Linked DNA regions of Caenorhabditis elegans. The protein of the gene in region 1 interacts with the protein of each later gene in a biochemical or structural test. Each region holds a gene or a part of one and is shown in the gene's direction. Other genes may lie near its edges.

What was found.
Region 2: the proteins of plx-2 (region 1) and mab-20 interact in far-western blotting, tested with the Caenorhabditis elegans proteins (one study listed by BioGRID).

Annotation. Positions count from the first base shown.
Region 1 is NC_003280.10:14,418,611-14,426,976, reverse strand, and holds the start of plx-2 (Plexin-2), read left to right. Parts: upstream 1-2,085; 5' UTR 2,086-2,095; coding exon 2,096-2,245; intron 2,246-2,379; coding exon 2,380-2,507; intron 2,508-2,552; coding exon 2,553-3,029; intron 3,030-3,077; coding exon 3,078-3,336; intron 3,337-3,380; coding exon 3,381-3,545; intron 3,546-3,753; coding exon 3,754-3,888; intron 3,889-3,941; coding exon 3,942-4,076; intron 4,077-4,120; coding exon 4,121-4,778; intron 4,779-4,840; coding exon 4,841-4,995; intron 4,996-5,044; coding exon 5,045-6,961; intron 6,962-7,582; coding exon 7,583-7,739; intron 7,740-7,787; coding exon 7,788-7,958; intron 7,959-8,007; coding exon 8,008-8,366. UniProt on the Caenorhabditis elegans protein: Involved as a receptor for mab-20/sema-2a in the formation or stabilization of cell-cell contacts at several stages of epithelial morphogenesis. In early embryonic development, required for proper ventral closure of the epidermis.
Region 2 is NC_003279.8:1,645,150-1,653,234, reverse strand, and holds the start of mab-20 (Semaphorin-2A), read left to right. Parts: upstream 1-1,777; 5' UTR 1,778-1,979; coding exon 1,980-2,052; intron 2,053-3,450; coding exon 3,451-3,873; exon of another isoform or gene 3,874-4,760; coding exon 4,761-5,132; intron 5,133-5,999; coding exon 6,000-6,118; intron 6,119-6,187; coding exon 6,188-6,277; intron 6,278-6,965; coding exon 6,966-7,710; intron 7,711-8,085. Other genes in the region: Y71G12B.18 (Methyltransferase FkbM domain-containing protein), read right to left, coding at 236-319.

The DNA of each region.
Region 1 (8,366 bases):
ACACATGTATACATTCATGAAAGTATTACACCACTTGATTGCCCAATAGAAAGTGTTAATCTAATCATAAAAACTTTATACTTTATAGGTACGAGATAGCTGGCAACAATAATTTTTCAATCTCATCGAATTAGAATTGTAATGTCCTAACAAAGCAAACTTGTAAGGCAAAATCTGGTTTGATTACAAAAATAGTGCTGAATCTGCCAATTTCACTATGCAGAAATAAAGTTTTTTGAAAAGTTACAGTCAGAAAATAGCAGTTACTCAGTTTGCAATAAGGCTGTGCGGCTGGTAGAAAAATTACAAAGAATCGAAAGTTACCGAAAGACAAAACTAATTTTTAAAAAATTTAAACAACGCTACTAGGTTCCAGACACGATGTTTATAAGGGAACTCCGGCAATTGAGCAAAACCTTCCTATGTACATGTGTTCTTAGTTCTTCTTGAAACTCTCATGTTAATAGGTTCACAACCTACTTAACCCCTAGAACACGCTCTGTTTGTTTTTGACACCGTCTTCCGTTGTCTCTTGCGCTCCGCCGTCATCACCTGCCACGCAGCTCATTAACTCATTAACTCATAAGCTTGTGCCTTGTCTTGGCTTAGCTGTATATATATACGCTTCCTTAGTCTATATAGAACACCTACTAATGATCCTAATGTGCATGCATTTTTATTTTTGTACCAGTCGGCAGTTTTTCAAGATATAATCCAAATTATTTCAATTATTTGAATTTTTGTGAAATTTTAGTCTAGACCCATATGGCCCAAAACTGCCAAATGTTGTGTAAAGGCGTTCTGAAATATTAGCACTAAAGGAGTTTTTTTTTAAATGAAATCCCACTGCCCCACAAATAACCATCACTATTTCAATAATCAATACTATAAACTTTACACACTCTGTTCCGGAGTCCTCACCATGTGATCGATTAGAATCAAACTCATTAATCATTTTCTTTGACATAATTCGCGGGTTGCTCTCTACCCGACTTTTCGCAAATACAAACTGAACATCTGTCTGCCGAGTTAGTGATCATTAATGAATATTTATCTAGTTTCAGATTTTTTCGTATGTACATACATATTTCTATTTCATTTTCCCCCAACCCGGCTTACCCAGTCCCTCCGGATCCTCCTGACACATTTCCCCTTGTCCGTCCATCTATTTTCATTGTCCATCCCATTTTTTGCTCTTTTTTGCTTGTGCTCTTTTTCATATCTTCTTTTGCTTCTCAGTTTCATGTTCCATTTTTGGTTTGGACCCTATAGGACCGAAAACTCATTTGGGGATTACATTTATGTCATTTTTACTCATTTCCCCTCATTTTACGTTTCCGTTTCTTTTTAAAATATTACATGTTTCTCTACGGACCTCCAAAAGGCTACGGCTTCTATTCAAAAAATATAACTGCCTGCCTGCCTACAAGGTGATCTATGCCTTATACAACTAGAACTACAAAAATTTTGGTCACTACTAGTTAATTCTGAATTTGGTTCAAACAATCTATAAAATGAGAAATTTATAAATTGTATTTACTAATCCAAATGTACTTCTTCAAAACGTAACAAACAAATGACCATTTTGTAAATGTCTGCACAAAAAATGTCTAACCGATTCGCTTCATCGACGACCATCGGTTCACTTTTTTTCGTTTGATTGATCATGATGGAAATGGTCAGTCAAGTATTGTATTGCATTACAATTAAACATTGAATTCGTTCACGTTTCAAGTGATTTATAGGTTATGTGGTTATTGAAGAATGGGGAGACATTGGACACAGGTATTTCCTTATGTTGGAAAAATTTATTACATTTTTTTTTGGAATGAATTAACCTAGTTTTTGCATTTTTGGTTTTTCATGAAAATTTTTAATCAAAATACTATTGAGGTTAGTAAATTCTTTTTTGGTGTCACGTTTTATTACTTCGATGAGTTGGTAGAAGTTAGGAGTTAATCGCCTTTTAGTCAAACATGCAGGCATATTAGTACCTTTATTTTCAAATTTCTGAATTGGCTAAACTTCTTTTAAATTTCTCTATTACTTTTTTTCTGAAATGATCATAAATCTTCTTATTTTCAGAAATGCGATTATGCTCCCCGAATCGGTGTTTCTTCTCCTAATCAGCCATTTTCTGCGGGCGGTAACCCAGCCGCCCTTTGAAACAGAAGGCGTGAAACAAAAATTATTTCATTTTTCTGGACACATTGACGACTTTATTGTCTCGAGGGACCAACAAACGGTAGGACATCTCACAATTTCGAGAATTTTGAGAAAACTATCATTTTTGAAAGCTAGGCACGCCCTCATTTCTGCCTGCCTAATAAGCCTAAGCAGAAGCCTATAGTTGGTACCTGAGTAATTTTAATCTTTCAGATCTACGTGGCATCTCTCAACCGACTAACATCTTTATCAATTTCTAATTTTTCAATACAACATGAGGTTTCACTCGGTCCGGTTCAAGATTCTCCTTGGTGCTCTGCAGATGGAAAATCTTGCTTAAAGCTAGTTAATCAACATCACGTCTTTATCCAAATTATTATTTTCAGAGACAATCGCCCCTTCCCAACAGATGTTCGCACAAAAATCCTACAAATCCTTCCCACAAATCAAATTCTTCAGTGTGGTTCTGTAAAGCTCGGGTCATGCTCCACGTTCAATTCGAAGTTATCTCTCATCACTGAATCCACTATCGCAGTTGCCGCGAATTCTCCAGACGCGTCCACAGTATCGAAAATCATCGATAATCGTTTAATTGTTGCGGCAAGTGCAACGAAAGAATCTCCGTATCGAGACCCGTTTCCAGCGGTTGCAATTCGAAACTTGCCCGGTCTGAATGTTGAGAATGCCGGTGATCTGGAAGGAGAAGCTGCAGTTTTCCTGAGAGCAGCTTACAAGAATGCATTCAAGTTTTTGTACACCTTTACGCATCAACATTTTGTGTTTGTGGTCGCCATGGTCACACCAAGAGAGTCAAGATTACCTATGACAACCAGGTTGATACGATTCTGCCGAAATGACACAAAGTAGGTGTTTAGGCCAAAAATTAGCAAAAGTTATATCCCTATTTTCAGATTTGAATCCTACTCTGAAATCGAACTTCAATGCCGCGGAGAGGACAATACCAACTATCCATTTCTGAACGCAATCATTCAATCCTACGACAAGCTGATCGCATCGTTCTCAACATCATCCACATCTCCAAAAAGTTCCATTTGTGTATTTTCGATGCAAAAAGTGAAGCTGACTTTTTGGTACAATGTGGATAGGTGTAGAAGTGGTACTGATTCGATTAGACTACCTCATATCGGGAGAGATACAAAATGTGTTAATGCAAGTTTTAGGTTTTTCAATGAAGAAATTATTTCGCTTTTCAGAAAGCCCACATACCCCTCGACGAAGATAGCTGTGAGCTCGGTGTTGGTGGATCAATTGAACTTGTTGAGATGTCCACAAAAGACATTATGGGAAAGGTGACGTCATTGATGGCTGTAGATCAAAAAGCAATTTTCGCGGGAACAACAACTTCGCAGATTGTGATGGTAAATTTTACTAAAAAAGCTAGCTAGATTCACACGACTAACTGCTTGTGATCCATCATTGTCGCTGACCCTAAACAGCATTTCGAATGACACTTTAATCTTCAAAAATGTATATGAAAACAAATGTCAATCAAATGCATATCACAAAGGGATTATTTCTTGAAATCATAGGACTGATCTTTAAAAAAACTATTACAAACAATTTTAGTTTAAATGGGACGAGCACCATTCAAACCAGTTGGAAGAGTACGGTAGAAAGGAAGTTGGAGATGGGCGAACTGGGAGCGAGGTCAGCAAAATGGTCAAATTTGGGGATTTTGTCATTGTGCAGATGCCATATGGAGTAAGTTTATTTTGAAAAAAGGGTTTCATGTAGAACAAATTTTGGTTTTTTAGATCATATTAGAAGAGCTTTCCACTTGCTCTCATCACAGCTCATGCACAGAATGCTTAGTCTCTGTAGACCCACTCTGCCAATGGTGTCATCCGACGCAATCGTGTACGACTTCAGCAAGGTGTACTAGTCCAGTTGTAAGCAAGTTTATCTTTGTTCTATTTTGGCATACACGTTTCAGACTTCTCAGTGTCCAATTGTCGATGGTGATCCGATTCCTTCAATAGTCTCCGTGAACTCCTCTACCCCTATATCCTTCAACATTCACCATCTTCCACCTCCAGTCGGTTTCACTTATAGATGCCAATTCGGAACATCAACATCATCTATCAAAGCTAACTGGACAACGACCGGAGTTTCATGCCCATCGGAAATTTTTACATCACCAAACACTTTTGAAATTTTGTTGCTAACATCAATTTCCAATAATCCAATCAGCCGTCACAACTTCACAGTTTACGATTGCTCGGGTTACGGTACATGCTCGTCCTGTATGAGCTCTGAGTACAATTGTGCCTGGTGCTCTGGATTGCACAAATGTTCGAATTCCTGTGGGGCATTGGAAAAATCAAAAGCCTGCGTGAAAATTCAACCAATGAGGCTCCCAATTGCTATCGGTTCTCAACAAGAAATCGTGCTCGAGGCGTCTAACCTGGATACTCTTGATCGAAGGCACGAACATTTTTGTAAAGTAAACGAGCAAGTGTCTCTTGCAAAGATTGCAAGCGATAGTATCCGTTGTGGCAAGATTCAGTTGACTTTGAGCAACACTACGAGTGCAAACATGGTGGTTCCGTTGAGCCTGATCACAAGGGACTCTGTAATTGATATTGCTAATGGTAAGTACCAGAGATTTGTGAATTCAGTTTACAATACATACTTTAATTGAACTGCTTTTCAGTGTCCCTTTACTCTTGCACCAACCTGGCATCTGACTGTTCCAGTTGTCTTGCTCTTTCCCCTTCACTATCATGTGGATGGTGTAATCGACAGTGCTCCCACGAGTGCCACGAGTCAAAGGCCACTGCTGTGTGTGATCCACCAAGAATCGATAAAGTAAAAATGATATGAATACGTATATATCTTGTATTTAAAAATGTTTCAGTTCGAACCAACAAGTGGGCCCATCGAAGGAGGCACAATCATCAAAATCTATGGGAATGACCTGGGCATGTCTGTAGAAGACGTTCGTGGAAAGATCTATGTCGCCGGTTCTAGATGTAATATTGTGGAGTATCATGTTTCTAACATGATTGCATGTCAAGTCGACAAAGGTGTCAGCTCGGGCCCAATCAGGATATCAGTTGGTCGGGCAACAGTTGCAGTAGCAGAATCATCGGAACTATATTCGTTTGTAAGAACATCAATATTCTCCGCTTACCCCCTGTATGGCCCAATATCTGGCGGAACTCGAATAACTCTGTACGGTCAGAACTTATCAAGTGGATCTCAAACCTCTGTGACAGTTGGTGGCATGCCGTGTCCTATTGAAAGGGTAAATTCTTCAACAGTTTTGACTTGTCTAACACCTTCTGGAACTCGAATTGGAAAATCTGCTAGAGTAGTTGTTCATGTGGATCACTCCCAGACTCAACTCGATCAACCATTTGAATATCGATCGGACCCGTCTATTAGCTCAATCTTCCCGATGACTTCTTTCAAAGCCGGCGGAAGAATTGTTTATGTTCAAGGCAACTCATTGAACACTGTTCAAACAGCAAAGCTATTCCTCATATCATCTCCAACACCTCCGTTTTATATAATATCTGATCTGGCTCCATGTCACATCATTAACTCTACATTAATGACTTGTATGACTCCAAAAATTTTGGAAACAATCACTAGAAGAGTTGAGTATACACGGCAACCTGTGGGTTTTCACATGGACAATGTCACAGCTGTAGCAAATTTGGGAAGACGAATTCAGATGGGCATCTATCCGAATCCGACGCTTTCTCCGTTCAAAGGAGTACGATATCATCAGGGAGAACAATCACTCATTCTTGAAGGACACAATCTAAATCTTGCTGCGGAGCCAAATGATTTCAAGATCTTCATTGGAAATGAGAGATGCTACGTGACACTTGTAGATGTTAGGCAATTGGTGTGCTCGGGACCGGTGAGGCAACCAAAAGCTACCGATGAAAGAGGAATTCCAATTAATGGGGATAACCCGCTGGTTACTGTAATAGTTGGATCACTTAGAATGGAGCTTGGGTTGATTGAGTATTCCGATCATGCACTCCCGTCCAGACTATCACTTTTGATTCTTGGGCTACTTCTGTTCATTGTTGTCACGTTGACTGTGATGTGCTTGGTTTTCAAGCGGAGGCGTCAAGAACGAGAGAAAGAATACCGAAAGATTCAGCTTCAAATGGAAAATCTTGAAAACAATGTTCGTAAAGAATGCAAGCAAGCATTCGCTGAACTTCAAACAAACCTAGTACTATCTCCAAAGTCTGCAAATTCTGTGAACCTTGGACCGGAACTCATCAACTTCCCGCATTTTGTGGAGAACCTGCTCTGGTCTGATAACAACCTTACATCTGCGCCGAGTTTGGCAAGGACTCTCCCAGTGACTCTTGCTCAATTTCATGCACTTCTGAGCTTCAAAGGCTTTATTTTCACTATCGTAGAAGCTGCAGAATCGGATGTCTCCATATCAACATCAGAGAAGTCAATGTTAGCAAGCCTCCTGATATCTGTGTTACTTCGAAACTTCTCTTATTGCACTGAAGTTGTTGTGGACCTTCTACGTGCCCATATCGCAAGATCGGTTCAAAATAAGCGCGCCGAGTTACTGTTTCGGAATAGTGACTCGGTGGTGGAGAAAATGTTCTCAAAGTGGATGAGCATTTGTTTGTACTCCCATTTGACTCCGCAAATGAACTCGTACTTCTATCTATATAAGGCGCTACAATATCAAACTGACAAAGGACCCGTGGACGCGGTGACCGGTGATGCGAGATATACGATTAACGAGGCCAAATTGTTAAGGGAGAGTGTGGACACAAAGACTTTGGTGAGCTTTTTTTCAAATTTTCAAATGTTCAAGGTTTTATAAAAAGTTTCACAAGTGTTTAAACTCATAGAGGTTAAAGATGATTTTTAACTTTACAATGTATCTTTTACTACGGTGATTTTTTTTACTACGCTTTGTATCTTATTATTGTATCTTACTAGATGTTTTTTACTACGAGTTCAAAACTCATTTTTATAATTTATTCCAAGTATAATTACCCAAATATAGTGAATACAAATGTCGCACTTGTAGTTTGTAGTCAAGTAGTTCTAGTAAATTTGAGTATACCCGGGTTAGTAAAATAACAACGTAGTATATAAGATGAAATAGTGAGAAAATATTTTCCTATTATTTCAAAGTTTACTAGACTACGAGAGAATCAACGGTTATTATGAACGGCTACTAAATTTTATTATCGGAAGAAACGAATTTTGGTAGAAATTCCACAAAATTGTGAATTGATGTAACAAATTTACATAGTTATTTAACCTGGATTAATCAGAAAATATATAATTCATTTTAACAACATACCTTTGTTTCAGTTTTGAAACGTTTACAGTTGATCCCACAGGAAAAGGGAAAGCAAGTCTAATTGATATGCTATTTTTGGTTAATTTTCAGAAAATTCGTGTGATTCCATTTGAAAAATGCGATGAATCAATAGATCTTGAAGTTCATGCATGCGACGCAATTTGTCAAGTCAAACAAAAAGTTGCTTCAGCTGTCTATCGTGAAACACCATATTCACAGCGACCGAGAATAACGCAGTTCGAATTGAGTGGGTCATAAATAATCCCATATGTGTCTTCAATCAGTTTTTTTTCAGAATATAAATGTCCCAAACGGGGAGATGTGAAACTGACCGATGTTTTGCCAATTGAGACGTTATCGCAGAAAAAGCTACCAGTAAAGTTGTTCACTTTGGCAGATTACGGTATCAGTGATGGCTGTACGCTGGAAATGTCTCCAGCGGTTTATACAGCGGAAAGCTATAGAAGTGAGTTAATTGAAGAAACAAAATTTGAATATAACCCTTAAAATTTCAGATTCTCTCGCAGATTCTGGACAATCTTCCTGGTCATCGTTAGATCGATGCTCTCCAATTTATTCATCTTCAAAATACTATCACCTAACAAATCCGTCATCTGGAACTATGACTTTCAAGAAGAAATCTTCAAACGACAGCAATTTGCTACCCAAATCTATTCCAGAAGTGTACCTAACAAGGTTGCTCACTTCAAAGGGAACAGTAGAAACTTATGTGGAAGACTTCCTAGAATCCGTACTATACATGCACGATTCAAGCTACCCGCCAATTTTAAAATTCTTCTTTGACATTTTGGATCGTGAAGCTTCAGTGAACGGAGTTTCTGAAAATATTTGTCAGCAATGGAAGGCTAATGGC
Region 2 (8,085 bases), on another chromosome or scaffold:
AGGCATATGCTTAGGCTTAAGCTTAGGTCTAGGCCTATGACAGCCTATATTCCTTACAGGCTATCTGAAGAGTTTTCAATTTTCGTTAGCATCGAATAAACGAAGCTCAGAATTTGTGGGCTAAAAAATTTGTGCGATGCATGTGCTGAACTTTAGGTAATGTTTTTTTTTATTCAGGTTATGGAATTTTTTTAGTGGCCGCGGCCGTCAATATTTCTAGGCCAGATTTGCATACCTGTCCGTATAAAAGAACAATGCCAAGAAAAATGAGAAAAATAATTAGAAGCAAATTAATCGGTCTACTGGCACGAGATTTCATTTCGAAAAAAATATCGGAATATTTTGATTCCACCTGCCCTTTTATTGGTGCCGTTCCGGATTGTTTCGTAGAATACTTTTTCAGATTTAATCGCGATTTTGTCCAGTTTTCCATGCCGAATTTCGATGGTTCGACAAGATTAGTGGACGACAAAAAGAAACGTTTTGTTCTCAAAATTGCTTTTGGTCGGCGACAAATGTTTCGGGAAAATTCTAGTTTTTTTTGGAGGAATTTGTAAATTTATCAGGAGAATTTTTAAATTTACCAGGAGAATTTTAAAATTTACCAGGAGAATTTTTAAATTTACCAGGAGAATTTTTAAATTTACCAGGAGAATTTTTAAATTTACCAGGAGAATTTTTAAATTTACCAGGAGAATTTTAAAATTTACCAGGAGAATTTTTAAATTTACCAGGAGAATTTTAAAATTTACCAGGAGAATTTTTTAATTTACCAGGAGAATTTTTAAATTTACCAGGAGAATTTTTAAATTTACCAGGAGACTTTTTAAATTTACCAGGAGAATTTTTAAATTTACCAGGAGAATTTTTAAATTTACCAGGAGAATTTTTAAATTTACCAGGAGAATTTTTAAATTTACCAGGAGAATTTTTAACCGGTTTTTAAAATTTTCGGCAATTGCCGGAATTGCCAAGATTGCCGGAATTTGCGATTGCCGGGCATTTTCGGCAATTTTGAAACCTAGTCATATTGTGGAAATTGAAAAAATTTCACCTTGTCTCTTAGTATTCATTTAGTCATTTTCTGAAAGAAAACGTTCAATCCTTAAAGGATCAAATTATGTTGAGCTTGAAAATAAAACATTTTTCATCAAAATGCATGTTTAGGCTCCTAAATCTACAAAAAAGTATCAAATTTATATTTCCGACAATTCTGATTTCCGGCAATCGGCAATTACGGCAGTTGCCGGTTTCAAAAAATTCGATAATTGCCGAAATTGCCGAAAATCGATTGCTGGTAGGCAATTGCCGCGCACCCTTGTTCTTCAGTAGAGTACAGTACTATATTACAGAACTGCCACTACAGTACCCTTACAGTACTCCGACACTTTTTCCCTAACCAGGTACGGACCGTCACTGCAAAGTTTTAAGCGTTTTATTTGCAGTTTTTGATGTATTTATGTGTAGAGTTTTTTGGAAAATTTTGAGAATTTTTTAAATTTTAGTTTTACAATTTTTAGATGTTCGGTAATAATATTCCTTATTGAAAAAATATTAATCATTTCTAATTCAACATATGGAATTCTGGTTTTGATACATGTTAATTAGCGTTCTTCAAGTGGCTCTCCTTCTCCTGTAATCCACCGAACATTGTGGACGTCAACACACACACACACACACACACACACAAAAGACGAAACGACCCAACAAATACAATTACGATGTCTTCTCCGTCTACTCTCTCATTCTTTAGGACTAAAGAGGCACAGCTGCCAGTAACAGGGACCCCTCCTTTGTGTCTGCGTCTCTCCCTCTCTCTCTCTTTGGGGTGGCCTTCGTCTTCTCCCCCATCCTGCACACACACACACACACCCTGACACCACAACGGTTTCATGCAAATTCTATATAATATTTATTGATTTTCTATCCTTATTAATTTCAAGTTAAAGAGTTTAACTCTGAAATAAAAATCTTTGAAAATGAGGAATTTTCTGGTATTTAGCGTAATTTTTATTGCGTACAACAGCTGTGAAGCAGCGAATATTCAAGCAGGTGAGTATTTTTCAAATTGATTACCTATATAAAAATTTGAGGTTAAATCCAAGAAATTATAGATTTTAGCCAAATTTCCACGAATTGAATGAATTTGCCCAAGCTTGGACCCGAAACGACAATTTTTGTAAAATGCAAAAGGGCATGCGTCTTTAAAGAGTAATGTAGTTTTCAGCTAGGATTTGCTATTGAAAAACTAAAAGAAAAACTATTTTTTAAAAAATCAATAAAATTAAACGTCTCGATATTACAGTCATCTTCAAAGACGCACACCATTTTGCATTTTACAACAATTTATCGCTTCGAGACCAAAAATAAATTTTTTTTTTTTTGGTTTTAAGTCTCTCCTCTAATTCGGCATTTTTGCGCTTGCATTTATTGTTATAACATAAGTTAATCTATTTTTTAAAGCAACTTCATAAAGTTGCTTGAAAAAATTGATAAAATTATTTCGACCGTAAATTTGTATGGTTTTTCGTGACGAGACCCAAGATTTTTAAGGGTTTTTTGGCAATTTTCAGTGAAGTTTTGTGAATTTTTTTTGTGTATTTGAACGTTTTTAGTATGAAAACTATGAAAAAAAAACAAATTTTTAAAAAAATTTTCTGAATTTCCATCCGTTACATATTGAGTTTAATAGCATATTTTCATGGAAATTTTTATAGATTTTTCACAGTTTTTATTTCAATTTGCTATTGTTTCCGGTGAAAAATGCATCTTTTTCAAAGATCAAACTTCGCAACAACAAAAGTTTTGCAAGTACAGTAATCTTCAAAGGCGCACACATTTTTTCATCTAACAAAAATCTAGACCGGGACGACCGTATTTTTTGACCCGAGCGCTTTGCAAAATTTCGCATTTGCACGGATTTCTAGATTTAAAAAAAGGATTAAAGGACGATCACGTTTTTCAAGTGCTATGCACTGCGGATCTGGGATTCAGGTACCTGCCTGGTGGTGATCCCTCATTAATTGAAATGGAAGAGTTTTTGCCGAACTAGGCCATTTTGGCTCGTCCATATTTGGGGTAGATTTACGGCGCGTTGCGTGTCGCGTCGCGGCTCGCCTTTAGTTGTAAAAATAAATGTATTTGTCCGTCGGTAGATTGTCAATGGAGCGCGATAAATGCAATGAGGAAGGCCAGAACCCCGAGATTTGGGTGTTAAAAAAAATTTTCTTTCCAAAAATTCAAATTTTCGTGGGTTCAACAAATCAAGGATCATAAGTCAAAAACTGAGCGAAAAAATTATGCTTTTCGAGATGATAAGGTCCCATTCATTACAAATTGTATAAAATTGTGTATGCAAATATGCTCTAAAGATAATTTTTTTTGTTTACCTAGGTATTAGTGTCATCAATCCAATATATATGTATTTACCTAAATTCTTAATTTTTGCAGACAACACATTTGCCGACCCGAACATTGGAGAATTCCGTGAACTACTAATCGACCCAAAAGCCGGTGCTCTTTTTGTGGGCTCCGAGGGAGCCATTTTCCGTCTTTGGGCTTATAATATCAACGATACGGGGGAGAATGTGTTCGCCAAAAAACAACTGGTGCTCAGCGAGTCCGAAGAATCCGAGTGTCGTTCGACGGCCAGTGACGAGCGATTGTGCCGCCCGTCGACTCGATTTTTGGCGTTTACGAATAACCTCGACTCGATTTATGTTTGCTCGTCGGTTGGCATGAGGCCGGAGATTCGTGTGCTCGACTCACTTTCGTTGCGAGACCAACAGGAGCCGCGGACCGAGATTGGGATTTGTGTTGTGGATCCGACGTTTAATTTTACGGCGGTTGTGGTTGATAGTGGGAATCCGGAGGGTAAGCAAGTGCGCTCTATTGATAAATGAAATTCATTGATAATTTGGCTGCAATTTTTCAAAATTGTTTTGAAACTTTTCTAGTTTTGAATGAGTTTGCTTAAAAAAATGACCAAAAATACCCAATTATTTTACAAAAACTATCAAAAAACATCCTTGAATTTTGCAAAAATTTTTGTTGCACAGAAAGTGGGGCGGAGCGTAGCTTTCGCAACACTGCCGCACGGGTTTGCCTCCGCCCCTTCTCCACTGCTTTTCTTGTTGATTTTTTCAATAATGTTTCGATTTGACTATTATTTTTCTCTTTTTTCGAAACAAAAAACTTTTGAGGCAAACCCCGTGCGGCAGTGTTGCGAAGTTACGCTCCGCCCCACTTTGTGTGCGACAGAAAAAATTTTGCAAAATTCAAGGATCGATTAATAAGTTTTGATAGTAGATTTTATCACCAATCCCCACGTGGTGTCAGGCTGCTTCATTTCAGTTTGATCTACAAAAAATGCGGTAATATTTTTCCATAAAAACTGTGACGTCAGCACGTTCTTAACCATGCAAAATCAGTTGAGTACTCTGCGTCTCAACTCCCGCATTTTTCGAAGATCAAATCAAAGTAAGACATTCTGACACCACGTGAAATTGTGAAAAAAATATTTGTTTTAGTCTAGAATTTGGATACATTATCTATTTTCTGCAAACTTTGTGAATGATAATTCTAAATTACACTTTTTACTGTGATTTAGAATTATCGATATTTGAAAAAAATTTTGCAAAAAATTTTTTATTTTATTCTCATAAATTTTGCATCAAAACATTTTCCAAAAAATAAAGTGCAAATTCCAAAAGTAATTTTTGCAATAATGTTTGCCAAATTGTTGCAGTTTTCATTTGCAGATGCCACATCCGTATACTCTGGAATCCGTACAGGAATGGGCGGTGAGAATCATCTGATCTACCGTCCACCGCTCACCAAAAACGGCAAACAACTGCACGCCAGTATTCGAACAATCTATTCGGACAACAAATGGCTCAATGAGCCGCAATTCGTCGGCTCATTTGATGTCGGACAGCATGTGTTCTTCTTTTTCCGTGAAATTGCACATGATAACTCGTTCGGCGAGCGAATCGTTCATAGTCGTGTGGCAAGAGTTTGTAAAAAGGATATTGGCGGGAGAAATGTATTGCGACAAGTTTGGACGTCATTTGTCAAGGCTCGACTTAATTGTTCGGTTTCTGCAAATTTCCCGTTTTATTTCGATCATATTCGTAAGTTAGGCCACCGAGTGGAGCATCGTGGCCGAGAAAAAGAGAAATTGAAAAAAAATCAATTTTATTCATTTTCTGTTTGAAGTCTTGAAACCCTTCAATTCGTGATATTATACTAATTTTTCACGGATTTCTGGCTACCCTCATAAATTGAAATGGAAGAGTTTGCCAAAGTAGGCCATTTTGGCTCGGCCATATCTGGGGTAGATTTACGGTGCGTTGCGTGCCGCGTCGCGGCTCGATTTCAGTTGTAAAACTAAATGTATTTGTCCGTGTGGAGTACACGACTTTCTCACGAGTTGTCCGGCAGGCGAGAGCGCGAAAAATTCAATGAGCAAGGCCAGAGCCTCGTGATTTTAAAACAAATGTTCGCCAGTTTTCGCAGTATTCACGTGGTGTCAGGTTGTCCCATAACGGTTTGATCTACAAAAAATGCGGTAATATTTTTCCAAAAAAACTGTGACGTCAGCACGTTCTTAAACATGCGAAATCAGTTGAGAAGTCTGCGTTTAAATTCCCGCATTTTTTGTAGATCACAACAAAATGGGACATTCTGACACCAGTATTGAAAAATATGGCGACCGAGTGTAGCATCGTGGTCGCACGGGGTTATGGTCTTTCTCATTGAATTTTTCGCGCTCCATTGGCGATCGCCCGCCGGACAACGCGTGGGAAAGTCGTGTACTCCACACGGGCAAATGCATTTAGTTTTACAACTAAAATCGAGCCGCTACGCGACACGCCACGCGCCGTAAATCTACCCCAGGTATGGTCGAGCCGATAAATTTAAGGAAAAAAAATCATGAAGTTCTCAAATTTAAGACCGTCTCAATAGAGCGCATCTACACTGTCTATTTTTTTTTTCAGAATCCGTAAAACGCGTCGACAAACACGGAGAAACCTACTTCTACGCCACGTTTTCCACATCGGAAACCGCATTTACTTCTTCTGCGATATGCATGTTCCAACTCTCTTCAATCAATCATGTAAGTGGTGGCCGTGGCCGCCAAACAAATCAAATTAACTCGGCCACCTATTGAACTTTGTGTTTTCAGCTCCTCGACACCGGCCTCCTAATGGAAGAGACTGCGAACGGGCAGTTTTCGGTGACCGCCGACGAGATTCCGGCTCATCGCCCGGGAACGGTAGGTGGAAAATGTGCTCTATTGCAAAATAAATTTTACAAAAAAAAATCTAGTTCAAAAATGAAATTTTGCGTCAGAAGTGGGCGGAGCCGTAGTTTTAGAATTTTTGAAAAATTTGAAAGCCCGCCTACGCTCGGTGTCTTCTAAAAATCGGTTTTAACTCGGCGGGGCTTATTTCAAAAAAAAATTTCTTTAATTTTTTGCAATTTTTTTCAAACAATTTTGATGCGGAGCACGTGGTGTCAGGCTGTCCCAATATAGCTTTATCTACAAAAAATGCGGGAATTTTTCCCAGAAAAATTGTGACGTCAACACGCTCCTCCATTCGAAATCAGCTGAGAACTCTGCGTCTCTTCTCCCGCATTTTTTGTAGATCAAAGCGAAATGGGACTTTCTGACTCCACGTGGCCGAGCATATTAACAAGGAAAACATGCGTTGGTCCGAAAATATTGATACCAGGGGGCGGAGCTTATTTAATGATTTTTTAAAGGAACATCTTGGAAGCCCCACCCATTTCTGACATAAAACCCCTTTTAATCGATTTTTCAGGATGTTAAAATCAATTTTGATTGAAAAATACCTATTTTCCGTTGGTGAAATTCATTTTTAGATATAAAAATTGTGTAATATAAGCCCCGCCCATTTCTGACGCGTTAACCACTTAATCATCGATTTTCTCTCTTTCAGTGCTCACAAAACTCGCACAGCATTTCGGATACGGATCTTCACTTTGCAAAAACGCATCTCCTGGTTTCCGATTCCATATCCGGCGGAACCCCGATTCTGCCACTCCGTGACCACGTTTTCACGCATATTGTCGTAGATCAACTTCCCAACCAGAATGTGATTTTTGCATTTGATAGTGCAAATCGACGAGTTTGGAAAATTTCGCATTGGAAAGAAGGAAACGAGTGGAAATCGAATTTAATCGAAGAAAAATCGCTAAAAATTGCGGCCTCCCGGATTAATGACGTGGCACTTTTGCCTGCCGAATTCTTCTTTGTCACGTCTGGAGCCGGTGTCTCCCAATTCTCAGTTGCTCGATGCTCGGAGCAACCATCCTGTGCTCTCTGCTCCCTTGATCCCTACTGCAGCTGGAATGCGGTCAACTCGAAATGCTCGCTGAAAACAAAGACAAATGAGAAATCAGTCGGCTGGATTTCGAGCTCATGGGCTGGAAGAATATCACCAGAGTGCTCCGCTGTCGAGAAGCTTACCGTTAAGGATGTCTACTTGGGCGACGGGCTCCGTTTGGTTGGAGCCAAGAATGGGGTGTGGCAGAAGGATGGGCGGAGTGTTGAGAGTGGGCAACGGCACGTGGTGACTCGGAATGGGGAATTGGTGGTGTTGGATGCGCAGTTGGAGGATGCTGGAACCTATGAATGTTTGAGAGATAATATTATTCTTGTTAGAGCAAGAATTGTTGTTCATGGTAATGAGTTTTAACAAAAAATTCAACTGAAAAAATCACGAAAAACTGTACTTTTTTGCGGCCATGAAATTAATTGTAGAAAAACTGCAGAAAAATGACAGAAAACAAATCGGTGGCCGAGTTTTTTATCTTTCCGCGGCCACGCCATTTTTCGTCTCGCTACACCAGTGTTTCCGACTTGGCCGCCACAAAAAAACGGTGGCCGAGGTTTCTTTTTTTCGCGGCCACATGTTTTTTAATTTTCATTTTTTAAGAAACAATATGCATTTTTTATGAATTTTTCTCGATCTTGCTTTAGCGGCAAAATCGGGAAAAAATCGGTGGCCGAGTTTTCACTTTTACACGGCCACCAAGCTCGAAATTTCGATTTTTTCT